Linked DNA regions of Pelodiscus sinensis. The protein of the gene in region 3 interacts with the protein of the main gene of each other region in a pairwise test. Links are inferred from orthologs where the notes say so. Each region holds a gene or a part of one and is shown on either strand. Other genes may lie near its edges. The genes, in order: CFL1, EPS8, EGFR and PTPRA.

The links.
Region 1: the proteins of EGFR (region 3) and CFL1 interact in binary tests that used the Homo sapiens proteins (3 or more experiments, as listed by UniProt). The link is inferred for Pelodiscus sinensis from reciprocal best matches to the Homo sapiens genes EGFR and CFL1.
Region 2: the proteins of EGFR (region 3) and EPS8 interact in binary tests that used the Homo sapiens proteins (3 or more experiments, as listed by UniProt). The link is inferred for Pelodiscus sinensis from reciprocal best matches to the Homo sapiens genes EGFR and EPS8.
Region 4: the proteins of EGFR (region 3) and PTPRA interact in binary tests that used the Homo sapiens proteins (3 or more experiments, as listed by UniProt). The link is inferred for Pelodiscus sinensis from reciprocal best matches to the Homo sapiens genes EGFR and PTPRA.

The regions. Positions count from the first base shown.
Region 1 is NC_134721.1:32,569,214-32,577,181, reverse strand, and holds the start of CFL1 (cofilin-1), read right to left. Parts: upstream 3,005-7,968; 5' UTR 2,849-3,004; coding exon 2,846-2,848; intron 2,380-2,845; exon of another isoform or gene 2,343-2,379; intron 14-2,342; coding exon 1-13.
Region 2 is NC_134711.1:112,321,680-112,328,939, forward strand, and holds the start of EPS8 (epidermal growth factor receptor kinase substrate 8), read right to left. Parts: upstream 3,018-7,260; 5' UTR 2,884-3,017; intron 1,951-2,883; 5' UTR 1,871-1,950; intron 1-1,870. UniProt on the Homo sapiens protein: Signaling adapter that controls various cellular protrusions by regulating actin cytoskeleton dynamics and architecture. Depending on its association with other signal transducers, can regulate different processes.
Region 3 is NC_134712.1:164,042,543-164,050,345, forward strand, and holds the start of EGFR (epidermal growth factor receptor), read left to right. Parts: upstream 1-4,788; 5' UTR 4,789-5,096; coding exon 5,097-5,217; intron 5,218-7,803. UniProt on the Homo sapiens protein: Receptor tyrosine kinase binding ligands of the EGF family and activating several signaling cascades to convert extracellular cues into appropriate cellular responses.
Region 4 is NC_134715.1:128,431,614-128,438,682, reverse strand, and holds the start of PTPRA (receptor-type tyrosine-protein phosphatase alpha), read right to left. Parts: upstream 3,005-7,069; 5' UTR 2,990-3,004; coding exon 2,888-2,989; intron 2,306-2,887; exon of another isoform or gene 2,093-2,305; coding exon of another isoform or gene 2,048-2,092; intron 1-2,047. UniProt on the Homo sapiens protein: Tyrosine protein phosphatase which is involved in integrin-mediated focal adhesion formation.

The DNA.
Region 1 (7,968 bases), on a different chromosome or scaffold from region 3:
CTACGCCAGATGCCTGTGGGGGAAGAGGGGGAATTAGGAGCTGGGGAAACCTCTAAAGGTTGGTCAATGAGGTGCCCATTACTGGGATGCCAGCCCCACCACACATCAATTCCCAGCAGCCACAAGCAAGAGACAGGGGTTTCCTAGCTCCAAAGGGCAGCTCGTCACAAGGGAAGCCTTGCAAAGGGGGATTATTGGGGTAATCCAACCATTGCCCCCACCACGAGGTCTCGGGGGCTACTTGTTTCACCAGGTACCAAGCCAATGGACCCAGCAGATTTAACCCAGCAGCTGCCATGGGCTTTGGAGCACAGAGGGAATCGGGCAAGATGCAGAGTTGCAGCTTACACAAGCAGGACCAGAGAAGACACACTCCAAGGGCCCGCAGCAAACCAAATAGACCCCAACTACAAGAGCGCTCAATGGAAAGCTCTGCATCAGTGCCTTACACAAGCACCCAGGACAGGCGCTGCAAGGGAACCCGAAACCCCATGCAGGAAACAGCACTACACATGACCTCTGCAGGAGGCTGTGCCCGCTGCTTCCCCATCACCAGCCAGCAGCCCGGGCCCTTCCCACACAGCATAGCACCAGCCCCCATTCACCTCAAGAGGAGACTAATCACCCCTCTACAACTTTTACCCCATAGTCCCTGTTCACCCTGTGCCCTACCTCCCACTCATCCTCCCCATTTAACCCCAGCCTTCTTCCACTAGCTACCCCTCCCCACACCACCACCAAGACAACTGCCAGTCTGTCTCTTGGTGCAGTAAAGCCAGCCTCCACCCTCCTTCCTGGCCTGGTACTCAGAGCACAGCACTTGACACTGAGTCCACCCCTTTTCCCCACCCCCCATTAGACACCTTAAGACCGAGAGCCTTGTTATTTGGGGCACTGACATAGCACTTCGCACTCCACTGCCTGACAGCACAGGGGCCAATCTGAGTAGCTGGAGGCACCCCAAATTCTAACCACTCAGTGCTCCATGCAAGTCCCAGCCCAGGTCTCCCTGGATGACCAAAGGTCCAGCCAAGATCCCCAGCCAGCCAGTCAGCTGAGTCTGGCTTCAGCAGAGGGGCCCGGCAAATCAGCAGGGTGATATGCTCTTATATGGAGAAGGGAGGCTGCTTCAGGGGAAGCACAAGCCACTGTGCTCCAGCAGCCGCTTCTGGGAGGAGATGAAAGGGACATGGGGACAATGCAGGGCTCAGAACACGGACCAGTGAGAGAATCATCAGATCCCCCAGCCTAGGCCTAGATACTGTAGTCAATATCTTCCCTCCTGCAGCAAGGCTGATGCAGCCAGGATAGCTCCCCCCTCCCCCCGAAGCCTCCTAATTGAGTGGGCCCATAGGAGGCTAAAGGGCTTTTGTTCCCTAGCCCAGAAGCCCCGTTTGAATCCATGGCAAAGACCTAAGTAGTCAGTGCTATTGGCTCTACCAAAGAAATGAGACTATTCACAGGTCTTGCTGATCACCCTTCTCTCTCCCCCCCCCCCCCCCGATTCTCCTGTACCCTCCACCCCAAGTTTTGCTCACCACTAATCCCCAGCCAGGCAATGCTAGGAGCCTGGGTATTAGGCTAACCAAGCACCACTCCCCTTCCCCATCCCCCTAGCATCTTTGTCCTCCGCGTGGGAGGGCTCTACAGGCTGCAAGGGAACACTCCCACCGCTCAGACAGTTCAGAGCGCTAAGCACCATGAGAGCTCCTTGCTGGCACTAGGTGAAGCAGGTTTGGCCAATGCAAGGTGGGAGAACCAGGGCTGGGAGCACAAGGCAGAGAGAATCAGACATTTTGCAGAGCAGCACGCTTGCCCACCATCATGGCATTATCAAAGGGTAATGGTGGGGAGCAGAAACTGAGCGAGGCAGTTGAGAGCAGGACACTGGATTGGCTGATCTGGGGGGAGCTAGGACAATGTGGAGCACAAAATAGTTTCATCTTAGACTCAGATGTTAATGTCAGAAGTACCTCTTATGGCCCAAAGATATCTCCAGCCACTCCTACATCCAGCCAACATCCCCAGCAGGGGATACCCAAAATTTGGCACACCAAAGGCCATCTGTACCATGGCAAGGCCTGGGATAGAAAGCTCAACTGTTGCAGACATGGGGAGCCCTGAAGTCACAGGATCCCATACACATAGGGCATCAGGCAGAAGAGATGGATCAAAGGGGAGCTGGCAAGCCTCAAACCCCATGTTTTAGGGGATCTCCCATTGCCATCCCGCACTCTGATGCAATAGCAGCCCCGGAACAACATGCCTCAAGAAAGAGAGCAATACCTAGCCCATCCCGCATTAGAGAATAGGAGAAGGGGCCAGGCCCACATGGGACTCACTCAGAGGTGCATCATCAGCATCCTGCTACACTTGCACCTATAAGGGAAATGGCCAAAACAGGCCGCATAAAAAGCCTATAAAATCCTCTCATAGGGATGCCGATCCCAACCCCATACAGGAAAAAGGAGGAGGTCCCCCCCCATGAAACCCAGGGGTACCTTCCATAGGGGGTGGAGGAAACCCCTCGCCCATGGATCCTACAGGGGCCTTCCGACGCAGAAGGGAGCATACAGCCGCCTATAGACCCCATACGGGGAGAGGCTCCCCTTGCAGATCCCATTCATAGAAACCCAGAACAGAGCAGCGCCCCACCTGCCCCACGGGCGAGAGCAGATTCCTGCCCTGGAGCCGACAGCGGGGCCCCCGATCGCTCTTACAGGCGCCCCCTACAGAGGGTGGCGGGTACGCCAGGCTCCCCCATCCCCTATGGCTCCCGTAGGCGCCCCAAAGGCAAGATGGCGGGCGTGGGCCATAAGATGGCGGCGGCGGGCCGGGGTCCTACCATGGTGCTGCGGGCAGGGGGATCGCGGTCCGGGCTGCGCGGTGTCCGTTATACTGCAGCTCCTCTCTCAAGAGATAACGGTACCAAATATCGCCCCGCCCCGAGCCTACCGGCCGCCCACTTCCGCTTTATGGGGGAGGGGGCACTTCCGGGCGGCGCCGGCCACGAAGCATGCAGGGAAATAGAGTCCGCGCCGCGGGGCACGCAGAGAAAAGGAATCCGTGCCCGCCGCCGGGAAAGAGCCGCAAAGCGCGGGGAAATGGCACGAGCGAAGGAGAGCCACGGGAGACATCGGCAGGGGAGTCATGGGCGATGTAGTCCTGGGATCAGGGAGACGCTGCCGCGTCTGCAACACCCCAGTGCGGGTGCCCTGCAGTTGCGTGCAGTGCATCATGGGTAACAGACCCCCCCCCCCACGAAATAGTAGGACACGTCGTTTGATCACCACCGCCCCTCGCCTGCAGGGCGCTGGGCTGCGGGCAGCCCTCACGCCTGAGTTCCCCCTGGCTCTGGGTGCAGAGCGGGCCGGGAGTGGGAGCCGAGCCCCGGGAGTGCAGCCAAGGGGCTTGGCATTGGGAGCCTCCCTGAGGCCGACGTCCAAGCTGCGGCTTGGAACCGCGCCTGGAGATAAAACAGCCTTTGTATTAATCAGGGTGTCCGTGAGCGGGGCGGCGCAACGCAGCACAGGTAGCGCCCAGGTCGGCTTGTACTGAGCGCAGGCGGCCACAGGCTCTAGGGCAGCAGACTCCGAAGACCGGCTGCTGATTGGCTGAGCCGTGCCGTGACCCCGCCCCCTTCCATTGTGGCGCTGTCCTTCCTCTCCTTGCGTCGCTTCCAAATAAGGGCGTGAACCAGCTGCACAGAAAAAGGCCCCGCCTCCTGCAGCGTCCTCTCCTTATAAGGACATTTAGGGCACACAAGAGGAAGCCCCCCCCCCCCCCACCTACCCAACGCATTGAGGTGTGATCCTTAGCTACACGGAATCCTTCGCCTTGTCCCCTTCCTAGTCGTTTCCTTTGCTTCTGCGCAGACCCCTGCTTTCTCACTCATTATTTCCTCATGATCTTGATTGTTTTCTCTAAAGCTGCAGCTCCTGGACTCAAGTGAATCTGCGGTGCTTTCAGCCTTCAGTTCTCAAAGAAAAATGAATTTCTAGCTCTCTTGATGTGGTGAAAGCTTCAAAATGTGACCCCGGTGCATCCTAAAGGCTCAAAAAAGCAAAATCCTCCCCCCCAAGCTATTATTCTTACATAATCTCATGATTTTTGTTAAGTGTGGCTCCTGATTTTTTTAACAGCTGGGGTTGGCATCTACCACAGGATAGTTTATCTAAGAATAACTCTATACATTTTACCTGGTAGGGTTGAAAATGTTTTGGGTGACTCCCTCACACTATGGTAAGTTGACAGCCAAGTGACCACCCTCCTTATCCAAAGGTACAAGAGCCTCTGGTTATTATATCTCTTAAAGACATGCCTTCTGTTGCTCCCATTCTCTGAGCCAAAGCCCAAGCACAAGTTACATATCATAAGTAGTGGACCATTATGCTCCAGAGTAAACAATGGGGCTGTGTCTAGACTGGCAAGTTTTTCCGCAAAATCACATGATTTTGCGGAAAAACTTGCCAGCTGCCTACACTGGCCGCTTGAATTTCCGGAAAAGCACTGACGATCTCATGTAAGATCATCAGTGCTTTTCCGGAAATACTATGCTGCTCCCGTTCAGGCAAAAGTCTTTTTCCGAAAGACTTTTGCACAAAAGGGCCAGTGTAGACAGCACAGTAGTGTTTTCTGCAAAAAAAGCACCAATCACAAAAATGGCGATCGGGGCTTTTTTGCGGAAAACTGCGTCTAGATTGGCCATGGATGCTTTTCCACAAAAAGTGCTTTTGCGGAAAAGTGTCCTGCCAATCTAGACGTGCTTTTCCGAAAATGCTTTTAACGGAAAACTTTTCCGTTAAAAGCATTTTTGGAAAATCATGCCAGTCTAGACGTAGCCTGGGATAGGGTGCTTGGAGGCAATGCCAAACCTCTCTCTCCATGCTGCCATTCCAGGCATCCTGCATGACTCAGCAAAGAGTGCTCTCCCCAAAACCAGTGCTCAGCTTGCTATGCCAGTAAACCCAGCATTAACATGCCCTGTGCATCACCTCAGAGGACACTGTGTCTCAGAAATAAGGAGGGAATCCTTGTATAAACAGGTCCTGTGCCCCACCTCAGGCGGCTGAGTCTCAAAGCTGGGCAAGTACTGAGGAGGGGTAGGGCTGTCTCCAGGCAGAAGAATATCTATCTCAAAGTATTAACTAAATGCTCCAAGATTATCCCCTCCACAGATCAAATCAACCACCTGTGTGTGTGTGGAGTGGGGGGGAGTATGACAGCCCAGTGGGTTGGGGACAGCTGGAGAGGAAGGATGATATGAAGCCAGGACAGTGGTTCCCATGGTGGGGGAGGTTGGTTCCCCTCCTTTCTCAGCATGACCCCTTGAAGTAGGGTGGCTGTTTTGGCTGGGACAGAACCATTTTAAGCCCTTCCCCAGCCATTTTTTGGCAAAAGCGGGCATTTGTCCCATTTGCTGTTGCTGACTTGATCAGTTGCCAAGAGCAAACAAGACAAAAGTCCACTTCTGTCAAAAACAGTGGAGAGAAATGTGCAGAGGAATGAGCAGCAATGCCAGCCCCCATGTGGGTGGGAGGCAGGGCTCAGGCAAGCAGCCACCCCAGCTGTGCACAGGGCTTGGGTGTGCAGCCACCTGGTCCATGTCTGGGAAAGCAGGCAGGGCTTGGGTGAGCCAGCACCAACCCCAGCTGTGCATGGTGTGTGAGCGGGAGGCAGGGCTCAGGTGGGCAGCCACCACAGCTGTGCACACTGGGGAGGAGTCAGGGCTCAAACAAGCAGCCATGGAGGAGGTGGGCAGGGTTTGGACAAGCCATCACCCCAGCTAGCCCCAGCTGTGTGCAAGGGGAAGGCAGCTTGGGTGAGGAGCCCCAGCCAGCACCATGGGGATGTATTCACATGTGCTTGAACCAGCAGCTTGGGCCAGTCCTGGGAGGGGAGTCTGGGGAGGCACTTAGTCTAGGCCCATACTCTGTCCTTTGGGAAATATGGTCACCCTGCCTTGAAGGCTCCAGCTGTATCATAAATCTACTCGCCAATATGTACATCCTTCTTGTCACACATATTCTGCTGCTTCCCTTAACCTCTTACCAGCCAGTCTAAAAACCCTTTAGCAGCGGACATGTATCCTGGGAGATCTTCCAGGGGGTATAGCAACTCATCTAGATATTTGCCTAGTTTTACAGCAGGCTACATAGAAAGCACTAGCAAAGTCAGTACAAATGAAAATTTCATACAATGACTTGTTTATACTGCTCTATATACCAACCACTGAAATGTAAGTACAATATTTACATTCCAATTAAATTGTATGGCAAAAATGAGAAAGTCAGCAATTGTTCAGTATAGAATCATAGAATCATAGGACTGGAAGGGACCTCGAGAGGTCATCGAGTCCAGCCCCCCGCCCTCAAGGCAGGACCAAGCCTCTGTCTAGACCATCCCTGACAGATGTCTATCTAACCTGTTCTTAAATATCTCCAGAGAGGGAGATTCCACCACCTCCCTTGGCAATTTATTCCAATATTTGACCACCCTGACAGTTAGGAATTTTTTCCTAATGTCCAATCTAAACCTCCCCTGCTGCACTTTGAGCCCATTACTCCTTGTCCTGTCCTCAGAAACCAAGAGGAACAAATTTTCTCCTTCCTCCTTGTGACACCCTTTTAGATATTTGAAAACCGCTATCATGTCCCCCCTTAATCTTCTTTTTTCCAAACTAAACAAGCCCAGTTCATGAAGCCTGGCTTCATAGGTCATGTTCTCTAAACCTTTAATCATTCTTGTCGCTCTTCTCTGGACCCTTTCCAATTTCTCCACATCTTTCTTGAAATGTGGCGCCCAGAACTGGACACAGTACTCCAGCTGAGGCCTAACTAGTGCAGAGTAGAGCGGCAGAATGACTTCACGAGTTTTGCTTACAACACACCTGTTGATACAACCTAGAATCATATTTGCTTTTTTTGCAACAGCATCACACTATTGACTCATATTCAACTTGTGGTCCACTATGACCCCTAGATCCCTTTCCGCCATGCTCCTTCCTAGACAGTCGCTTCCCATCTTGTATGTATGGAACTGATTGTTCCTTCCTAAGTGGAGCACTTTGCATTTCTCTTTATTAAACCTCATCCTGTTTACCTCTGACCATTTCTCTAACTTGCTAAGGTCATTTTGAATTATGTCCCTATCCTCCAAAGAAGTCGCAACCCCACCCAGTTTGGTATCATCTGCAAACTTAATAAGCGTACTCTCTATCCCAATATCTACATCATTGATGAAGATATTGAACAGTACGGGTCCCAAAACAGACCCTTGAGGAACTCCACTTGTTATCCCTTTCCAGCAGGATTTAGAACCGTTAACAACAACTCTCTGACTACGGTTATCCAGCCAATTATGCACCCACCTTATCGTGGCCCTATCTACGTTATATTTGCCTAGTTTATCAATAAGAATATCATGCGAGACCGTATCAAATGCCTTACTAAAGTCTAGGTATATGACATCCACCGCTTCTCCCTTATCCACAAGGCTCGTTATCTTATCAAAGAAAGCTATCAGATTAGTTTGGCATGACTTGTTCTTCACAAACCCATGCTGGCTATTCCCTATCACTTTATTACCTTCCAAGTGTTTGCATATGATTTCCTTAATTACCTGCTCCATTATCTTCCCTGGGACAGACGTTAAACTGACCGGTCTGTAGTTTCCTGGGTTGTTCTTATTCCCCTTTTTATAGATGGGCACAATATTTGCCCTTTTCCAGTCTTCTGGAATCTCCCCTGTCTGCCATGATTTTTCAAAGATCATAGCTAAAGGCTCAGATACCTCCTCTATCAGCTCCTTGAGTATCCTGGGATGCATTTCATCAGGACCTGGTGACTTGCTGACATCTAACTTTCCTAAGTGATTTTTAACTTGTTCTTTGTGTATCCTATCTTCTAAACTTACCCTCTCTCTGCTTGTATTCACTACATTGGGCACACCTCCAGACTTCTCGGTGAA
Region 2 (7,260 bases), on a different chromosome or scaffold from region 3:
ACCAGAGTTCCCTTTTCCCTAAAAAGATGTCAGAACTATCTACCTGGTGCTAACCATATAAATCGATATGCAGAAGTAGCACTATAGTGCCTGGTGCCCATTTTATATGGTGATCATAAGACTCTTGCTCTTGTTCAATGTGTTCGCAAGCACAGAATCAGATGGTGACTGAGCACTAGCTACTATTAAACCAGATAGATCACCGTTTGTTGACAAATCCCGAGTCTACAAACTCCAAAAACTCTAGATCAAACAACAGCTTTCTAATATTATGGACAAGATCCCAGACTTATACTGGAGCTACATTTGGCACAGAATCCAGGGTGCAGGTTTGGTCTCTGACCTAAGCGTATATCTACCATTCAGCTGCTCTAAGTTACATCAGCACCAATAGTGTCTGGGGAGTAGTAAAATATAACACATTGTGGCCATACCCCATCTTGCCTTGCCTGCTATATGCAAACTGAAGAGTCTTTATTTCAAGGACATCCCTAGGTGCCTCATAAGCCAGGTATCCAGCTACTTTACATTGCCTGGCAGAGCAAACTGCTGAACATGGGGCCAAGGGATCTGGGCCTATCTTTATTCAATGCAAAGTCCATGGCAAATTCACCAGCTACAACAGTTAATAAAATTTAGCAGACATAATGATGCCAACTGAGCGACAATCTGTAATGGCTTCTCCTCTCCCTCTTCCCCCAACAGTGGGGATTCACCAACAAATTACCACATGCAACGACTCCATTTCCAGCTGGCCATTTTAACCTTTTACTTAATTAGTGGTCCTCTTCACTTTCACATATTTGCATTGCCCAATTCAATTTTACAGGGAAAGAAATAAAATGACTGACAATACAAATGTACACATTACCTTTAGCTGGCTGAATGTATACATCTGCACTGACTATTACATGGTATGATACAATACAACCCACGGGGATGTAAAAATTGTCCAAAAGAGTTAACCAGTAAATTGTTTGTTTAACCAGTTAACCACTGGCCACAGGCAGGGGGCTGCTCCAGCCCGATTGCACTATAGGATGGGGGCTTCTCCGGTTTTGTGGACTGCATCAGCCCTGGCATCCAGAGCTACTGGGGCCTTGCTGGTCAGGATGCTGCTCTGGATAGTGAGCCCCCCCAGTTACCCAGTAAACATGCTGGTAAGGCATATGTTTATCGGGTAACTGTTTAACCTTTAACATCTCTAATAACAAGGGCTTGTTGTAGGCAGGACAGTTGCCTTGGGTGCCAACTTCAAGGAGGTACCAGATCACTGAGCCACTTTGCTCCCCTTCTCCTCCCATTACTCCCTGCGCTGGCTGCTGGTTGGGGAGATTTTCCATCCTGGCAAGCACGGCAGGTTGGGCTGCACTTAACGAGACTGTTTCTGTAATTCTGCACACTCAGTGCCTTTTATACATACATACACAGATATTTGAGAACAGTGACATTTCACCCAGCAAGGTGTCACCAGTTCTGCAAAGAATGTTGCAGGAAATTTCACGTCAATTGACTGTCAGTTGTTCCAATTGACATTCACTAAAGACACGGCCAAACACTTTCAAGTTTCTAGTCAAGAAAAGATGGAATGACACATGTTTAAGCACCTCTTGCTCTCATATTCCCTGGCTATGGGTAAGGTCACTTTTTGGAAGACGGAGTTAGCTGATATTTTCCTAAATGTTACAGATCAGTATGTGAGCATTATGGTTGGGGAACAGCATAATGAGTCCATCATTTTACTATCTTAATTATTTCTGGAAAAACTGAGGGAGAGGGCAAGTAAATGGCATAAGAAGCTCTTAATGCTTTTAAAGAATCCTGAATGTTATGAATACAGACTACATATTTATGTATAACATAGACCAACCTGCTCTGAAGAATTTCAAGATAAATACAGCACAGGAAGGAATTTTCTTGTTTTCAAATGCTGGCAAAAAGTTTCAGCTTCTGTTATAAAAAGTGATAATACAAACTGAGTTAATACACAGGTTGAACCTCTCTAATCCAGCAATATCTATGGTCCGGCATGATTTTAGTTACACTGATCCACTTATCTGTGCTCTTATTTAGCTCTAATTCACCCCTACACGACTTCTAAAAACCCAGCAAGCACTGGAAGTGTAGGTGATGCTGCTAGACAATATTGACCTCCTACGGTTCAGCAAATTCTCTGGTTTGGCACCAGTCAGGTCCCCAGGGTACTGGACTAGAGAGGTTCATCCTATAATACTCTATCACCATCAGAATGTGAACTAAGAAACAGTACTATTTGTTGACAAACTACAAAGTCATTTGCTGCCTATTACACTTTCATTCAAAAGACCATTATAATTCACATTTAAACTCACCCCCCCCCAAGAACTGCTGAGATTACCAGAAATTACATGACTTTTTAATTAAAACAGATCACATCTTATTGTTTCATAGTTTTTGCACTTCTAGGAGCATGCCTTTAAAGTACATTTATTAGGATATATTTAAAGTACAATAGAAAAATTTAGAATTTCACACATTAAACAACCAAACGGTTTTGTAAAAGGACTAGTTTTTTGAACTGCAGACTCATTGCAGTTCAACAAACATGTATCCCTTCTGTTAAGGTCATGATGGGGGATAGGTAATGTTGGAATTTTCCCTCATTTATGTGGATTTAAGTTTATTTCTCTTTTAAAACTTGCAAGGAAAAAAAACTCAGTTCAACCTTATAGTGAACTTACATCATGAACTTATGAAAATACTAGGCACCAGAAACATAGGATGTTTTTACTTTTTTGATTTAATATATAATTACTAATACTTTGTATTACATAAGTCAATCATTTATTGTAGGATCAAAGTGAGTTTTACAAACACTATGGTTTATAATTTCATCTCACCAACCTGCTAATTTTGATGAACTGAGAAATTGTCTTAGAGTGCAGGTACACACAATGAATTAGTAACAGCAACAGAAATGGAATCCAGGAATCCTGGCTTTTTCCCTGCCCTCCTCTTCACAGGTTACACGACGCTGCCTAAAGGAATTTTTTTTTCAATTTCAAGACAATTCACATTTTCAAATAAGCTATATTTAAATTTAAAGGCTGTATTACAATGTTTTTAACCTTAATAAAAGTTTGTAATGTGTTTTCAGCACATTTTAACAGTTTTAACTATTGATAATTAGCACAGCATTTTCTGAATATGCAATATATTACAGGAACTCATTAAATAAGTCTATAAGAGGATCTTCCAGACTTTGCATTCAACATTATTTCTTAAGCATGACAGAGTACTTGGCACTGTATAAATCCGCATCCTACAGAGCACACGCACACAATCAAATCAAAGGAGACAAAGCAGACAAGATGCCCTGGGAAGTTCAAAGGTATATCTGGATGAAAAATTTCACTTTAAAAATATTTGCCAGAGGAGGGGACAAATTTGTTCAAAATTTTTCATTAAAAACATTTGCTTTCTAGTTAGCTCCTCTCAGCTGAATGGTTTACAAAGACAAGCACTGGAGTTCATGCGCATGCTCATGCTTTATTGTTGATTTTGTTCACTCCTTTTTATGGACATGTTGCTATTTTGATTCAACTGTCCAAAATTAAGCCATTTACTCTTCCTAAGAGACCATATTGAAACTGCCCTGGCACGTAGCTCTGATGGAGCATTGGCCTTGCTTGATAAGGAAGCCAGTTTTTACCACTATCCTGCAACCTCACTTGTGCTAAAAAAGGATTGCCAAAAGAGATAAATTCATATAATCTCTACACAGCTAAAAATCACTAAAGGTGGGTCTACAAAGCACCCTGAACTTGAAATAAGATACGCAATCTGAGCTATGGAGATTGCGAATCTTATTTTGATTGAATTTTGAAATAGCATGTTATTTCAAAATTTGGCACTGTGTAGACATACCAAATTTTGAAATAGCCTATTTGGAGACATCCCTTAACCTTCGTGGAAGCATGGTTGCCAGAATGCCAAAATAGAGTGCTCGTTATTTCGAACGGGCGGCTTGTGAAGATGTGGGGTAGCTATTTCGGGATACCTTCGGTATCCCGAAATAGCTATGCAGTGACGACATATTCTAAATGTCCAAAAATAACATGGATCAGACAAGAAACCGAGAGTCTCATTCATAATACTGTTTATTAGAGACAGATACGCTCTTTAAATGGATGTTTGACAGTGCCCCCGCTGAGTGACTTTTGCATAGCATCTCTCTTCACACTGATTTTTGAAAAACACAGAAGAATTTATAAGTAGGCCACAGTTGTACACTCTCTCAGCCTCCAAATATGGAAATTCTATCATATAACCAACTCCCAACTTGTAGAAGGAAGTGGGAATTTTTGTGCCTTTCACTGTGCCATGAAGCTCCTTATAACATGCCCCCCCGTGCTAGAAGGTTTATGCACATAGACCAGTGACACCTCCATTAAAACACGGAGGTTGTATGTGAAGCTTCTTCTTAAAAATTGGAGAGTTCATTTAGGACATGTTCCGAAAATTCTACCCAATAAGGAAGAAGAGTTCAAAGTCCATCTCGAAACAAAACACAAACACTTATCTCTTAATAAATTAGACTGTGTAGTCAAGGAAAATTACGCTGCATCTGCAACTAATTTACCAATTCTATATATATAATACAGATCTTTTAAGTGGACGTTAAAATGTGTGACACTTAATAACTGTATTTGAACCCTGTTGAAATATTGGATCAAAGCAGCAAAGCAGAGTCAGCTGTAGAAAAAATCCAGTCCAACTGCAAAAATTTCTTTTATGTATAACATTGTATACACTCTGCATGATTTTTCTCCTCTAAATGGAAGCATATTAACATGGAGTTTTTTGTCAGGTACACAGCAAAATACATGCCAATATATATATGCTCGGAGATGCTGCTCTTATATAATTTTTAAAAATCCCTGAAATGTACAAATTAGGCACTTTGATTTAAAATATTGGTTTGATTGTACTAATTTACCTGGCATACAATCCAGAAATGCAAAGAGTCAACTAATTTTTCCCTTTTTTTTTGGCTCCAATGGATTTAGTGTTGATGACAGCTGCCAAATTGACAACTATGGGATGCAGCTCCACTAGGAATATTAGTATCCATTTTTCAGCAATGGTGCAGCTGCCCCTGAGATTGTAATATGGTGATTTTACCGCTGGTCTTGGAAACCAGCTCAGGTTTTCATTACAAAGTGACCAACCAAAAAAAGCAGCTTGAGAACCCAGCGTAGATTAGAGATTAGAGCATTGCTTTAAAATGAGGTACTGATTTACTTAGCGTGGACAAGACCATGCAAAGCGTAGGCTCCACTCATGTCCTGTGATCCCAGACAGTTTTGTACTTGTTTATCACCTCTATGTAGTTTATTAATATTACCACTATCGTCACAGTCCAAGCAACAGTTCTGTCTACAACGTTCTTCAGATGTCAGCCCACTCTCCATGGAGAGTGCTCAGCTTGCTCCTTCAGTTCTGCTAGCATTTCCCATTCTGCACTTTCTTCCAGTGCTTTCTAACCATCTTAGTTCACATTCTGATTAAGGTAATTAAGTCCTTCATTCCTAAATCAAGTCTTCTCTGGGGGGCAAATAATCAGCTTAAGTGACCAGAGTGCTGGGATATCGGTTAGCTTTCAACACTGTCACAGGCCATATAAACCAAAGCATATTTTCCTATCCCTGTTGGGCTAGGATCTGGGAGCTCTGGCAGAGACTTACACCTGCATAGAGCTCTGTATACAGAATTGGGCTCCTAGTTGGAAATTGAACTAGCAACCTAAAAATAAAAAGGCTTTCTATCCCATTACTGATATATAAAGAATTTTGTACAGAAGGGATTATTTAACAATTGCTTGTTCAAAACCAGCTTTTTAAAAAAGTGAAATTATGAAAATAAATATTTGCTGCCTCCCCCTCAAAAAAACCTGATTGTTGTACATAAGCTCTCTTATCCAAAGGGTATGGGGGGAGAGGCGCGTGCATGCGAGCACACGCACACACACACACCCCTACACCTCCTACCAAGGCCTTGGGAGTGGTATCACTTTGCCCGTTGGACTCGTCCGCAATTGTCTTTCAACAGGTTTAGATACAATTTTCTTTCTAGAATCTATTATGCCACCTAACAAGTCAATTATTGATTATTCTAACCCTTTTATATGAAAGTATTTGTGCAAGGCGCTTACTGCCATCGCTGTGCACTATGTTCATTTGGCCATTTGTTTTAATCAAAGGTTGCTTCAAATAAAATTGTGAAGTAGCCTCCGCAGAAACATTTCATTCCCCTAACAGTTTTGAATGAAAACAAGACATGGCTCATGTGGCTTGGAGCAGAAAAGAAGCCACATTTCTTCTACAATCCAGTTTTAAGTAAACCAATTTTATTGCTTTAGCTTAGTCTCTGAAGAATATTAATCTAATGTAGGATACCACAGGCAGACAAACTTTATATGGGATCGCTTAAGGGCCAGGATGAAAGACAAGTAGAGAGCATGAGATGTAGTCTCTAAAAAAGTTACTTTGAGTTGCTATTGCAGCCCAGATACCAGGGCATACCCATATAATAAGAATACAACATATGGGGGAGGGGGAGTGATTTAGTACAGCTGTCCCCTCATACTGTAAAAGCAAAAATTCCATTTTGTGCCAAGGAGGAGAAAATGGCAGCATCCCTAATGCCTGCTCAAGTTCATCAGAATTTCCTTTGACCTGCAAAGAGGAGTAATATTTTAACAGTGCCAGAGCACACATGTAGTACAACCAGAGTCTTAACAGTCAAACTTTCAGTTCTAGAGGGTCACTGGCATGTGGGTTCAATTAAAACATGACTGCGAACCACTACTGCCAATCGCCATCCCTTTTAAAAGTGATCGCGTTCATCATGAGATGTAGTTCGAAGTGATGAACTTCAAATAAACAAATGTATTTAAATCTGGATAAAGTCAGCCTATGAAACAGTTCCAATAAATAAGGAATACAAATACCATAGCAATGATTTCTTTAAGTCCCATTCTATCTACATACATACTGCATTTTTTTCTAAAAAACAAAGAGGGAGCTGGCATGGGTGTGAGGTGAAGAGTTCTCGGAGCTCTCGAGAGAACCTATTTTGCCTACTTTTCATCCACCCTTCCCTCAAAAGCCTGGTTATTGCAGCAACCTTTCATCTAATTTTGGCAAATGTCTCTCCCTCTGGTAAGTACAGGCAGTCCCCGAGTTACGCGGATCCGACTTATGTCGGATCCGCACTTAC
Region 3 (7,803 bases):
AATGGGGAGAGGGGAGACCTTGAACTGGGAGGGGGAGGAGCTACTCCTAGGAGGGTTGGCCCCTGCGACTGCTTCTGCGGGGGCAGACCTGCACATGGGGGGCAGGCCGCGTTGGTGCAGGCAACACGGGGAGGTGGGTAGGAGAGGCAGGGGCAGGAGGGACAGGAGCAGGAGGGGCCATTGCAGGAGGGGCAGGGACAGTGCTAGGGGAGGGATGGCGGGGGCATGGGGCAAGGCCATGCTATAGTGAATGGCATGGCCAATGCGTGACGTGAGGGTGGATATTGAATCCGCCTTGCGGACACACTGGGCCTGGAAGGAGCCCCAGGCCTCCTGGCGCCACTGCAGGCCCACCTCCACACGCCGAGTGATGGCTGCCTCGACGCGCTCGATGGCCTGCATGTGGCGCCGAAGGAGCTGATCCCAGTGGCGGAGCCGCCGCCTTGGTGGTTGGGCGGCTGTGGGTGCTGCTGCTGCCGCTGCCACAGGGCTTGAGGGTCCCTGGCTTGTACTTGGTCCCGTTGCAGGGAACAGAAGAAAGGATGGGTCAGTCAGGCAGCCCATCCACTGTCCCCACACCTCATGGTCTCCACCCCTGAGCCCAGGTGACACCACAGTAGTGTGCCTTGGGCCCACTCGGTTACTCCCCTTCCCCCCGTGTTGTATGTTTGCATACAGGACCGTCCCTGGAGTAGGGTCCTCCTCCATGTATTGTAACCACCGGTCTGTGTCCTGGCCCCTTGGAGGGTGGGAGGGATAGCCTTGAGCATAGATAGTGGCAGTACAAACTCAGAAATATAAAAATCTCTTGATTTGGACAGAGGCACATATTCTGTGTAAAGCAATATTGACTAAGGGATTTATGGTTACTAAGGCTTAACCCCAGTGCCCATCTGTATACCTTCCCAAATCTCCCTACATGCTGTTAGGCAAACAATTATTACCCGTGTGTATGTGAATATGTATCTGTCTATATCTATCTATATGCCTATATATCATGCTGCTTCCAGAGAAGATATTTTGTAAAATGTGGATCTTATATATACTAAGCTGCTTCACAGGAGAGTTGTGAAGAATAACTAGTTAATGTTTGAAAGTGTCAGGGACCACAGAAGTGCTATAAGTCATTTAATCATTTCTTACATTAAAATGCAAAATACGTCAAAGTACATTCTGTACAAACTCCAGCATAACACAGATGAAGTCTGAACAAATTAAAGATTAAATTCTTTCCAATCAATGCACCTTTATTTTTTCCTCTGCTCATAATAAAACCTTTCAAGTTCTCATTGTGGAACAAATCCTGTCACCATCCTTGTAAGAAGGCAATAGAACGCAAGGCACACCTATGCTTTGTAAGAGTGGAGGACCAAGCTGCAAGGACTCCATGCAACAAGATTCCACAATCCCTCTACCTACCATGGAATTGTTCTGAAGCTGCATTCTGTTCTGCAACACAGTCTGTGGGGGCAAGTGAGGTTAATTCCATCTCTGCTGTTGATGGGGATTGAGGAATTATGGAAATGTCAATTATTTCTTCCTATGCCATGTAGTAAGGGATGACAGCCCGCCTATTGAAACAACAAAAACCGTGGGACATTAGAATTCTGTTAGTCAGTCCTGTAGAGGCCTTTCAGGGTACATCTACACAGCAAGGCTAAGTCTAGACTGGCATGATTTTCCGCAAATGCTTTTAACGGAAAAGTTTTTCTGTTAAAAGCATTTGCGGAAAAGAGCGTCTAGATTGGCACGGATGCATTTGCGCAAAAGCACTTTTTGCGGAAAAGCGTCCGTGCCAATCTAGATGCAGTTTTGCACAAGAAAGCCCCGATCGCCATTTTTGCCATCGGGGCTTTTTTGCGCAAAACAGTTTTTACCTGTCTACACCGGCCCTCTTGCGCAAAAGCATTTGCACAAGGGGGCTTTTTCCCGAGTGGGAGCATCATAGTATTTGCGCAAGAACACTGACAATCTTACATTAGATCATCAGTGTTCTTGTGCAAATTCAAGTGGCCAGTGTAGACAGCTGACCAGTCTAGACACAGCCCAAAGCTAAAGTGGAATTAAACTACACAATTGCATAGCTTAAATTGAAATAGCTTAATTCGGCTTTTGGTGCTTCGACTTCCCTTACTACTCATGAAATGAGGGTTACCATGAGTCAGAGTAAGAAGTCCTCCATCTCAGCATTATTTCAAAATAAAAGCTTGTAGTTTAGACATGCACTACGTTTTTTCGAAATAATGTCAGTTATTCTGAAATAATGCTGCTGTGTAGACATACCCACATAGAACAGGTTCCTGTGTTTGAAACAGAGATATTATGTAAACTAACAATTTCAGCGATTGTTTGGTTATGTGAACAGGAGACATCTGCAGACCTGACAGCTTTGGTAGTTCCCAGTTGTGCTGCAGCATATGGTCTTCAGGTCTTGGTGTATCTTTATGTATCTTACTTTCTTGACTAGAAGAGTTCAGTTGTCAAGAATGTAATACATTCAAACTCAGTAGGATAGGGTAGGAAAAAATGATAGCTGTTTGCTGCAGAACTCCATAGTGTCAGTGCTAAAAGAGCCTTTTCCACTCTGAAAATGAGTTGAACATTTGCAGTAGGAGAAATGATAACTACAGTGGGAATTCCTAAAGGCTAGATCTATGCTGCACACCACTGGTGCTGGCATATAGGGTACGTGTAACTATATGCCGCAATGAAAAGCAACCTGCATATACTTTGTGGTGTGTAGCAATACATCAATGAAAGATAGCAGTAGGGGGGAAATAGCTGTGGCCAGGGAAAGGCTCTGGTGATGATGAACATTGGGAGCCTTTCCCTACCATCTCCTCCATGCCCTTTCCTTGCTGCTAGAGTCTTTCCATGTGATGGGAAAAATTCCACTATACAAAACAGAACTAAAAGTAGCCCTACAGATGTGGGAGATATTGCTTGGACATGTAGAGAAGTGAAGCTGTTTGTAGGATAGGTGCCCACAGGGTTCAGACATGTCTATACTCCACTCAGCAGTGCTTCCCCGTCTCCACTGCTATTCATGCACATACCAAAAGGATGTCTTACTCCACATGCCTCCATAAAGAGTGCGCAATGCTGACATATTTTCAGTTTAGGTCAGGAACGAGGTAAGAGATCACTCACTGTCAAATGGTCAGTTTCATACAAATTCAAATAGAAACGATGATTGACCATAGATAAAGTGTGTGTGTGTTGGTTTGTGGTTTATTTAGTTTTTGGTGAACTCTGTAAATGTCTGAGTCTATTGCATTCAGGAGGCTAACAGTATGCATTAAATAAATTATTCTTGCACTATCTTCAAGATCGTAGATACATTAGGCTTTACATTATACTTTTTTTCTTATGAGATGTGACAGACATCTCTCCCAGCACCTTTAATCTAGTACCCATCCTTCTTGTGCAATTTGCAATCTGTAATATATACTAAGGTTACCCCCACAGTGCTGCAAAGTTTATTTATGTTGACCTGGTGTGATTTTAAAAAATCCTATTTGTCTCTAATGAAAGCCAGACAATCCACCCACAATGTATCTGATAGTGTAATAGTATTTCCAGATGCACAAACTCAGTATGTTATACTAACCATCAAAAACCCACATAATTTAATGTGTTGTCCAAATGTGTGTGTGCGCATATATATGCTGGTTTGTACAAGGAAAATATTATAAAACAATTTTTTTCTTAATTCAGTATTCCTTAACCAAGCAACACAGGAACAGGAGCATACAATATAGCAAAAACCATTAGTTCCAAGTAGGATCAGTGCCCAAGGGACTATGAGTTATTGAGGGAGGAAAGGACACATAAAAATAATATAGTTAGACTCTTTTTTTCTACTCTCACAAACTCCATAGAGAGTTTTAATGATAAAATGCACACTGTGGGAACAGGATCGGTCCCATAGAAAGCAGTAGCAAAACTCCAAGCTCTAGTGCACTGTCGTAACTTTTTTAATCATTAACTTCGTCCGGTAATTATTTATTTTTCCCCCGGGAGGTCCTTCATAAAGCTCTCTTGGCATTTTTTAAAAAGTTCATTTCCAAATCTCTCCTTTGAAAGCAAAGGAGCGACTGACTGATTTTAGCCTCCCACTCCCGTCTCCCACAATTACTCCTTATCAGTCTTTTGCTTTCTGACAGAGTTGCTCGGGAACTGATTTCCACTCTCGCCTCCTCAAGAACGCAGGCGAGACTTCCCAGTTCGCTTTTGCCAGACATCCTCCCTCTCTCACACACACCCAGAGAGAAGGGCCGAGCCTGTGTTTACTTCCAGGAGGTGCGGAACGCAGGGGATTCCAGCAAAGTCAATGGGATTAGGCTACCTCCTGCGTAGCTGCGGCGATAGTCAAAGGGCGGGGGGGACGTGCAAGTGAGCAGGGCTCCAGTCCTCTCCCAGCCTTTCGCCCAGGGCTCAGCTCGCTCTGCCTCCGCCTGAGGAGCCCTGAGGCAAAGACCGTGCTCGATCCCTGCCCTTCCTAGGTACGAGGCCAAGGGCAGGGCTGCAAAGCTGCAGCCACAGCGAAGAGGGCGAGCTCCTCTTTAGCAAATGCTAAGGCGAGCGGCAGGCTGAGGGGACTGGGCAGGAACTAGGGACATTCGCTTAGCTCCCCCCAGGGCTCCCGGCCCAGGTGAGCGCCCCCCCCCAGCCCCTCACCTGGAACACGGGAGGGGGGAGGCGCCGCCAGGGTGTCTCCTCCTCCAGTCCCGCCCCTGCCCCGCCCCCTGCGCGGGGCGGGCGGATTCCCCAGAGGGAGCCCCTGAGCCTGCTGGCTGGCTGCGTGCGGGGAAAGTTTGGCTGCGAGCGGAGGAGTTGGGACAAGGGGGCGAGAGCGGAGCTGCCGCCTGCCCGAGCCAGCAGCGCCCTCCGCCCCGGGCGCGAGCAGCAGGGTCGCCGCCAGCAGCCCCCGGCACTTGCTCCGCCGCGCACGTGGGGCGGTGGGAGCCGCCGCCGCCGCCCTGGCAGCAGCAGCAGCAGCTCAGCATGGTCTGCAGAGCCGGGCAGCGCAGCTGAGCGCCGCCGGGACCAGGAGGGAGCCGCGACGAGCCCCGGGGATTGTTGCCCAGCCCAGCATGGGGGACTGGAGCCGCCGGCCGCGGGCAGCAGCCAGCGGGCACCTCCGGGCTGGGGGCGCCGCTGTCCTGGTGCTGCTCCTCTCCTGCGTCTGCCTCAGCGCCGCGGTGGAGAAGAAAGGTACCGCTCGCGCCCTGCTGCGCTGCCCGTGTGTTCGGGGGGAGCCCGCTGTCCCCAGGCTGGGGGGGGGTTAAACTTTCCCTCCGGCTCCGTAGCGCTGCGCTGTCCAGATGCCCTGACCGAGAGGGTGTCACTGGCGCGGCGTCCCATTGCCTGAGGCGGGGGCTTGCTTTCTCCTGGGAGGGGAGGGAGAGAAAATCCTGGGCACGTCCCTTGCCCTTTCCCCAGCCAGCACCGCGCGCTGCGATCCCCAGGTTGGCCCCTCGCAACCCGGCCCTCCGGAGCGCCCACCCCCCTTTGCGCCCCGCACGTGTAAACCCGGCAGCGCCCGAGGCGGGTCCTAGGCAGCCTGGCAAACGAAGTCCCTCCGTGCCCTTGTTCTCAGGGGCCTCTCCGAGGCGTCGCTGGGGGGTGCGGAGCCACGAGCGGAGAGGCAGTGACAGGCGGCTGGGTCGGTTTCACAAGCGCTGAGGCTTGTCCTATTGCCCGAGGCTTATTAACGTCTTCCTGGATGGGGGCGCATGGATGATTCACAGACCTGCCGGAGCCAAATAACTCGTGTACCAGGCGAGCCTCAGTTTTGGAACAACTGCAGGCAGGTTGGGCTCTTGGCTTGTGGTTCTCACCGGCTCCTGAGCCCTGTTGAGCTGAAATGCGCGCAGGGGGCACGTTGTGGGGTGACCAGTCTAAACAAATTGGCAAGTTTTGTGAATGGCCGGCGCGGCTTGTTTCTCACGGTCGGCTGCGCTGACTGTTTCTTGTCCTGTAGCCGTGTACTGACGCGGGCGTAGTGAGAACTGTTCAGCCTAGTTTGCAAGGTTTTAATACGTTAAGGAAGCAGTTTCAGTTTGGGGAAGAAAAAAAGTTTTTGGTTGGCCAAACTCTCTCTCTCCCCCCCCCCCCCCTTTTATAAGCTTCAAGGATAGGCAGCCAACTTCGGTTCCAGGCAAAATTGTCTTTATCTTGGGAATCCTCCAACAACAACACAATGCAGATTTTTGTTTAAAAAAAATTGAGAAAAGACCTAATAGTTTTAGAAAGTCTGTTAGAGGAGCGTTAGCATTTCGTGACTCCGAACAATCAAACCATCTTTGAAAAGTAGAAACACGCCTTTTCAGAAAGCTAATTGCACAATCTTGAAATCAAGAGGCACTCTGGTTCCAAGAAGCAAGCTCGTACCTGTTGCTGATGTAATTAGGGCAGGGTTTGGGGGCAGTTGACTCCCTTTGCTGTGATTGTGCAGCTCAGATAAAATTGTTTTGAAACACAGACTGAGTTTTACAATTTCTGCAAAATATTTTGATGCAAGGACAATACTAAAGCTTACAGCATTAAGAGGTAGCAATTATTGTATTGGTGTTACAGTCTCGGAGCCCTAGGTCTGACCAGGAAGGAGCCCATTCTATGATTATTTAATAAGCCAGTAGTAAAGAAATGATAGACAATAGCTTCACCACCCACACCTCGGTTATAATTAGTTGCCAGTGCCTTTTCACATCAGGAGAGTTAGACCTGTTGACCAAGACAGAAGTAGTGTATGTCATCTTCAAATTACACTGAGTTGCCTGATTGTTCTGTTTTTGCTGTATTTGTATGCTCATTAAAGGTGAGCAGCAGAAAAGTGCTTTTAGGTAGCATGCTCCTGCTTCAACAAATTAAATGATAAAATTCCCATTGGAGGCTATGATACAGGAAGAATCCTCACTGAAGAATCATCAAATAGTTATGTAGCACTTTAAAGACTAACAAAACATGTAGATGGTATCATGAGCTTTCATGGGCACAGCCCACTTCTTCAGATGAGCAGAGTGTTGGATGTCCAGGCCCAAAATAAATAGGGGAGAAGGGGGTGGGGATAGAAGAAGGAAAAAATGGGAGGGAGGAACAAGAAGAGGCAGTGGGTAAAAAATATCAAGGGGAAAGCTGAGCTGGAAGTTTTAAGTTTATCCTGGACAGACTAACTTGGATACCCGCTGAAGGTTCATAAAATAGTTCCACATTTTAACTTTTGCCTTCAAAGTAATAGGTGCATGATAGATCAGATCATCTTCATGACCCCAGAACCTGCCTCCATGTTTGGGTACATGGGATCCTTTTTTTGATACGATATATCACCAACTTGAGGGGCTGGAGGTGCATAAGCAATACAAACCAATGAAGTGCTACAGTAAACTAATATGAAGCATCTAAGAAATTTTAAGCTGTATATAGTTATGAGCATTCACATTTTAAAAATTTCACCTGAACTTAATGTCATTTCTTACTGTACAAAGAGATGATTTTTTTAAAGGACTCGGATACTAGTACAATGTTTGTTAGAATGCAAAATGTACAATTTTACATTTTGGTTTGAGTTGAGGTGACTTCAATACCATTTTTTTTAAAAATCTTTCTTTAAACATTGAGAATTAAAAACAAATTTAAATACAGCCGAGTGAAAACTAATCTTGGTTTTTTTTTTTTTTTTTAAAGAATCATCAACTTTCCCAAACCAAATCAGTGATACTAAACATTTTAACATACTGACAGATGAGAATCTGGCTCAGCCTCAGATCCATTGGTGTAAACACAGATTAATGCAACAAT
Region 4 (7,069 bases), on a different chromosome or scaffold from region 3:
ACTGGTTATGTCTAGACTACAGGCTTTTGTTGACAGAAGTTTTGTTGACATACTTTCGAACAAGAGCATCTAGACTACATCCAGTTCTGTCAAAGACGCACGCCGCTTTGTCCACATGACAGTGTGGACGCAAAGGACAGTGTAGATTCAATAATGCCTTCTGTTGACAGAACTCTGTTGACAAAAGGCGTTATTCCTCGTAGAATGAGGTTTACAGCCATCGACAAAACGGCTGAGTTCCGTCCACAGAACTCAGCGGCAGTGTAGATGCCAGTAGACCTTTGTCGACAAAAGTCCACTTTTATCGACAAAACGCTGTAGCCTAGACACACCCAGAGCGAGTATATAGAGCAGTTTCCAGGATTGGCGGCGAGGAGTCCTGTGGCACCTTAAAGACTAACTGAAGTGTAGGAGCATAAGCTTTCTGGGCAAAGACCCACTTCGTCTCATGCATCTGACAAAGTGGGTCTTGAAGTGTAGGAGCGTAAGCTTTCGTGGTCTAAGACCCACTTTGTCAGATGCATGAGACAAGTGGGTCTTGTCTCATGCTTCTGACGAAGTGTAGGAGCATAAGCTTTCATGGGCAAAGACCCACTTGTCTCCTACATTTGTCAGATGCATGAGACAAGTGGGTCTTGTCTCATGCTTCTGACGAAGTGTAGGAGCATAAGCTTTCATGGGCAAAGACCCACTTGTCTCATGCATCTGACAAATGTAGAATAGTGATAGAAATGTAGCCGTGTTAGTCTGGGGTAGTTGAAGCAAAATGCAGGACTATGTAGCACTTTAAAGACTAACAAGATGGTTTATTAGATGATGAGCTTTTGTGGGCCAGACCCACTTCCTCAGATCAAATAGTGGAATAAAGTAGTCACAACCATATATACCAAAGGATACAATTTTAATTTTATTCTTTTTTTAATTGTATCCTTTGGTATATATGGTTGTGACTACTTTATTCCACTATTTGATCTGAGGAAGTGGGTCTGGCCCACGAAAGCTCATCATCTAATAAACCATCTTGTTAGTCTTTAAAGTGCTACATAGTCCTGCATTTTGCATCTGACAAAGTGGGTCTTAGACCACGAAAGCTTACGCTCCTACACTTCAAGACCCACTTTGTCAGATGCATGAGAAGAAGCGGGTCTTTGCCCAGAAAGCTTATGCTCCTACACTTCGAAGACCCACTTGTCTCATGCATCTGACGAAGTGTAGGAGCATAAGCTTTCTGGGCAAAGACCCGCTTCTTCTCATGCATCTGACAAAGTGGGTCTTGAAGTGTAGGAGCGTAAGCTTTCGTGCTCTAAGACCCACTTTGTCAGATGCATGAGAAGAAGCGGGTCTTAGAGCACGAAAGCTTACGCTCCTACACTTCAAGACCCACTTTGTCAGATGCATGAGAAGAAGCGGGTCTTTGCCCAGAAAGCTTATGCTCCTACACTTCGTCAGATGCATGAGACAAGTGGGTTTTTGCCCACGAACGCTTACGCTCCTACACTTCAGTGAGTCTCTAAGGCGCCACAGGACTCCTCGCCGCTTTTGCAGAGTCAGACTAACACGGCGACCCCTCTGATGCTTTCCAGGCCCGGGCTCCGAAGTTCCGGCCCATTCTTGTGAAAGCCACTGGAGGTTTGGGGCACCACCGTGAGGAGACGCCAACCCAGCTTTATGGATTGAAGAGCAGGAACGGCGACCCCTACCGAACCTGGCGGTGACACCGGTAGGGAGGCAGAGACAAGCCCCTCCGGGCGGCGCAAAGCCCAACAGCGGCCCCGCTGCGTGCGGAGTCAGACCCCGCCTCACGCCAGCACGGGGGGCTCTGCGGTGCAGGCAGGGCACCCTCCCCGGGCGGCGGGCGGGGCGGTGCGTGGCTCGCGCCAGGCTCGCGGACCGTTGGGCGGGCACGGGCGAGGCCTCGAAACCCCGGTGAGGGGCGGGCTGCGCGGACCTGCCCGCGCGCCGCCAGCCGCCCCCCAGCCCCGCCCCTCCTGGCAGGCCTTGGCGGTTGGAGCTGCCCCCCCCTCCCCGCGCGCGCTCTCTCACTCACCCTGCGCGGCGAGTGGCTCCGCAGCGGCCCGTGGGGCCAGGGCATTTACCCCGGGGTGGGGAGGGGGGAGCGCCCCGCCTCAGCGCCCCGCCGCGGGGCTCGGCGCCCCCGCAGCCTCCCCGCCGTGGGGCCGCCCCATGCGCGGCGCGCGACGGACGGACGGGCTGACAGGCCGGCGGGCGGCGGCGCCTGAGGAGGAAAGTTCCCGCACCGCGTCCCCGCCGCAGGGCCGCTTCCGCTCTGCCGCGCGCGGTGCCTCCTTCTCGGAGGGGAGGGGGGGGGGGGGGGGCACGCGCCGCCGTAAGCCGCCCTGCCATTGGCCCATCAGACGCTCGCGCTGATTGGCCGCCGGCGGGGCGCCCAGGGTGGAGAGCGGGCGGCCGGCCGCGGTAGGGTCTTCGGACTCCACGCCGGCGCGTGCCGATGAGTGGGGGGGGAGGCTCAGCGCTGGCGCGCGCAGGCTGCTGCGTTCTGACCGCAGGGTCGCCGCATCGCCAGGGCGCGAGCTCCGCACCGTGCACGCTTCGGCCGGGGGGGGGGCACCCATAGCCTGACCCCCCCCTCCCTGGAATCCCACTGCTGGGCACCCCCAGCGCCCCGAAATGCCAGTGCCCCAGGCTGAGCCCCAGCAATCCTAGGCAGAGCCACCCCCCCCCCAGAGCCCTGCCAGTGCACCCCCTCCTGGCCCCCGCTCGCTACAATCCCAGAGCCGTGCCCTGCTGCCCACCCACAGCCCCCTGCCGTTCCAGGGCTGGATACCCCCATAGACCAGCCTAACAGCCCCCTGCTACGCCACTGCTGGGCACCCACAGAGCTCTGCTCGCATCCCACCGTACTTACAGCCTCCTTCTTTCCAGTGCTGGGCACACATTCAACACTTCCCGTGCTCTCTAGTGCTGAGTTCCACTTCCTCCCCGCCCCATGTCCTGAGCACCCACACATGACTTGGCCTATGCATCCCAATCCTGACGCATGGCTCACTCTGTTTAATCCTGGACTCCCTTCCCATCTACCAATGCACCACAGAAGTGACCTATAATTAATACCTCCTGTTGTTCCACTCATGGATCTCCACCCAGCCCTGGGTTTACAGGCTCCTTGATCCCAACTTACAACACACTGTTGATCCAGACCCAGGTCCCTAAGATAGTTATCTCAGTTCTCCTCAAACCTCCTCACCTTCCCCCACCTGTCCTTGGGCCAGGTGTCCTTCAAATTGAAACTGATAGTTTTCTGAACTGTGTTCCAGACCATCATGAGTGTACACTGCACTAATTTTTACGTGCTATAAATTGAATCCAAGGTGCCCAGGGAGAAGAGCCCCAATGCATAAGCTCTATCGCACCACCTAGTGACACCCTTGTAGTATTGTAGAGAGGTATGTGGAATGGCAAATGGCATAAGCCTCCAAAATGTGCTTGGAAGTTATTTACGGACTCAGTTTTAAATGTTTATGTAGCTCTGCCTCTTTTGCTTGATAGCAAACCCAGTTTAGTCTCAACGGGTAGTCCTGTGACTCCTTAGAAATACATAAATATATATGTAGTATCATGAGCTTTTGTGGGCAAAACCCACAGATGAATTTGTAAATCTTGGGTGTTCAATGATGCAGCTGGTACCACTCTAAAACAACAGGGAACAATAAGAGTGTCTATTCAAACAATATGCTTAACAGATTTTCTTGCCAAACCCATTATCTTATTGTTTTCCTACCAGTTGTTGCATGTTGTCATTACTGTAAACTCTTCAGGACAGAGACTGGCTTCTACTTTGTGTTTATACAGTGGTACATGCAATAGATCTCTATACCCCACACCCCAGCATTAAAAAATAATGAATCGAGTCCTGACAATAATGAAAATGGCTTTTAAAAGGACATTTTCCTATAACATGAATATATTTGAGGGGTTTTTTATGTCACACACTTTTGGATTCAACTATCAGTACTATCAACCCCAACTGTATAAAAATGGTCAGACTGCCTCAAAAAGTCAGACAGTTTGGATACTTTTTCATTTTCTGGTTTTGGAGTTTTAGGCTTCACATTTTCAAGCTCTGCAGCCCTGAAGGCTAGAAAGTTATTTTTAAAACATTAAAGCTGAAATTCTTTCTTGCTCACATTACTCCAAGAGCCTCAAAAGGGTAGCTGTGTTAGTCTGTAACTTTTTAAAAAATAAGTGGTATTGTAGCACCTTAGAGAGTAACAAAAATATATATAGTATCATGAGCTTTTGAGGACAAAAGCCACTTCTTCAGATTAGAGAAGTGGGTTTATATATATATACACAAAAGCTTCAGAAGGGTAGCCAAGTTAGTCTGTAACTAGAAAACTTAAAAAACAACAAATAGTCTGCTGCCCAGGACCAAATTTACACTAACACCCCCCCTAATCCCCAACCGGCAGTTTTCTATCTGCTACCCAAGATACTTGTCATCACCTACAGCCTACAATTTAAACCCCTCCAAAGGTTCCTAACTGTCAGGGTGGTCAAACACTGGAATAAATTGCCCAGGGAGGTTGTGGAATCTCCATCTCTGGAAATATTTAAGAGTGGGTTAGATAAATGTCTATCAGGGATGGTCTAGACAGTATTGGGTCCTGCCAGGAGGGCAGGGGACTGGACTCGATGACCTCTCGAGGTCCCTTCCAGTCCTAGTATTCTATGATTCTATTCTATGATTCTATGAATGCACAATCAACAATCTATCCTGAAAAAATGACTCCTTACTCTCACAGGCCTTGGGGCAGGACTGGCCTTACCATGAGGCAAACTGAGGTGGCTGCCTCAGATTCCGGATTGTGGGGGAGGGGTGCCACTAGGACCCAGAGTGTAGAAAATTGTGTCTACTGCTGGTGCATATGTAGGTAGCAGAGCAGTGCCATGAGAGGAGTAGAACAGGAAAAAGGCAGAATTGAGACCTTTCAAAGTTTTGGCCCAAGCAAGGGGACATGGGGGCATCATTTGAGCTCCCCACCTCAGGTGCCAAAATGTTGTGGGCCGGCCCTACCTTGGAGTAAAGGCCAATCCTCGCCTACAGACAACCCCCTAACAAACAAATTCTTTCCAGTAGAATAGTGATAGAAATGTAGCCATGTTAGTCTGGTATAGCTGAAACAAAAAACAGGACTATGTAGCACTTTAAAGACTAACAAGATGGTTTATTAGGTGATGAGCTTTTGTGGGCCAGACCCACTTCCTCAGATCAAATAGTGAAAGAAAATTGTCACAACCATATATACCAAAGGATACAATTTAAAAAAATGAACACATATGAAAAGGACAAATCAAATTTCAGAACAGAAAGAGGATGGGGAGGGAGATAAATGTCTGTGAGCTAATGATATTAAAGGTGATAATTGGGGAAGCTATCTTTGTAATGGTAAGATAATTAATTCAGAACAGAAGGGGGATGGGGGGAGAGGTAAATGTCTGTGAGCTAATGATATTAGGGGCTCATTTAACTGCACAACCATTAATGTGATCTATGCCATCAACTGCCAGCAATGCCCCACTGCCATGAATATTGGCCAAACTGGACAGTCTCTATGGGAAAGAATTAATGGACACAAATCAGATCTCTGAAAAGTCAACACACAGAAACGTGTTGGAGAACACTTTAATTTGCCTGGGCACTCATTAATGGATCTCCAAGTCACTATGTTGTTTCAATCCAATTGCACAAGCCAAGTACACAGGGAAGGGTTGAAACTTAACTTCATTTACAAGTTTAATTCTTATCAGAATGGAATGAACAGAGATATTGGCTGGCTCGCACACTACCTTCCACATCCTAATGACTTAACCAAGCAACCAAACAATAAAGGTGCTAATTGTCCTCTTATAACTACTCAAACAATCTATTCACTGTCTTTTTTCTCTTTTTTTCTCCTTCCCCGCTCCCTTCCCTTATTTATTCTTGAATCTGGACTTTTAATACTCTTTTGCGCAAAAGAGCCAGTGTAGACAGCTGAGATTTGTTTTGCGCAAAAAAGCCCCGATTGCGAAAATGGCGATCGGGGCTTTTTTGCGCAAAAGCGCGTCTAGATTGGCCACAGACACTTTTCCGCAAATGTGCTTTTGCGGAAAAGCGTCCATGACAATCTAGATGCTCTTTTCCAAAAATGCTTTTAACGGAAAACTTATGGCGGCGCCCGGCAAGATGCAAATGAAGCCTGGGATATTTAAATCCCGGACTTCATTTGCAACTTCGAATGCCTACATTAGCCACCCTAGTTCGAACTAGGGTGGCAGTGTAGACATACCCTGGAGGGCTACAGTACTACTTGTTGTTTTACTCCATGAGCTGCAGTGTCGAGGGGGGAAATCACATATTTCAAAGCTGGCAACACGGAGGGGTGCAGAGAAATGATATAGCTCAAGAAGATTGCTAATGAGATGCTGATTTTTTCACCTCTAAAATACCACCTGAAATCCAACTCAGGGGCTTGGCTCTGGGCAGTGCTAAACACTCACCACTCCTGTGATTTCAGTGGGTTCGCCATGATCAGGCAGGTCAGTGGCTTTGCTTTTCTTCCCTTAAAGTGAACAACAAAACTCAAAAGGCTATGTCTACACTCGCAGCTTCTTGTGCCAGAAATATGCAAATGAGGCTAAGCGTGGAATATCGCCAAGCCTCATTTGCATACCTAATGAGCCACCATTTTTGCAGAAGAGGCTCTTGTGCCAGAAGGAGCTGTCTACAAAGAGCCTGTGGGTCCAGGCTAGTGGATTTTGTGTGCTCCGGCCCCATGAAGGATAATGGTAGGGGGCTGTAGCACCAGGACAGGTTCCCAGGGGGAGCCCGGAGCCTTGCGGGCTGGATCCAGGCAAACCAGAAGCTGCATCTGTCCCATGGGCCTTAGGTTCCCCACCTCTGACTTAGAGGTCTAGCCCAGTGACTTCAGTGTAACTAATCCCGTGGGTTACGCAGGCAAGCATGTTCTGATCCTAAAACTCATTCCTTCTTGGTCACAAGAGTTTGAGAGATTCCATAGTGTGTGGTGTGAAGTTTGTAATAAGA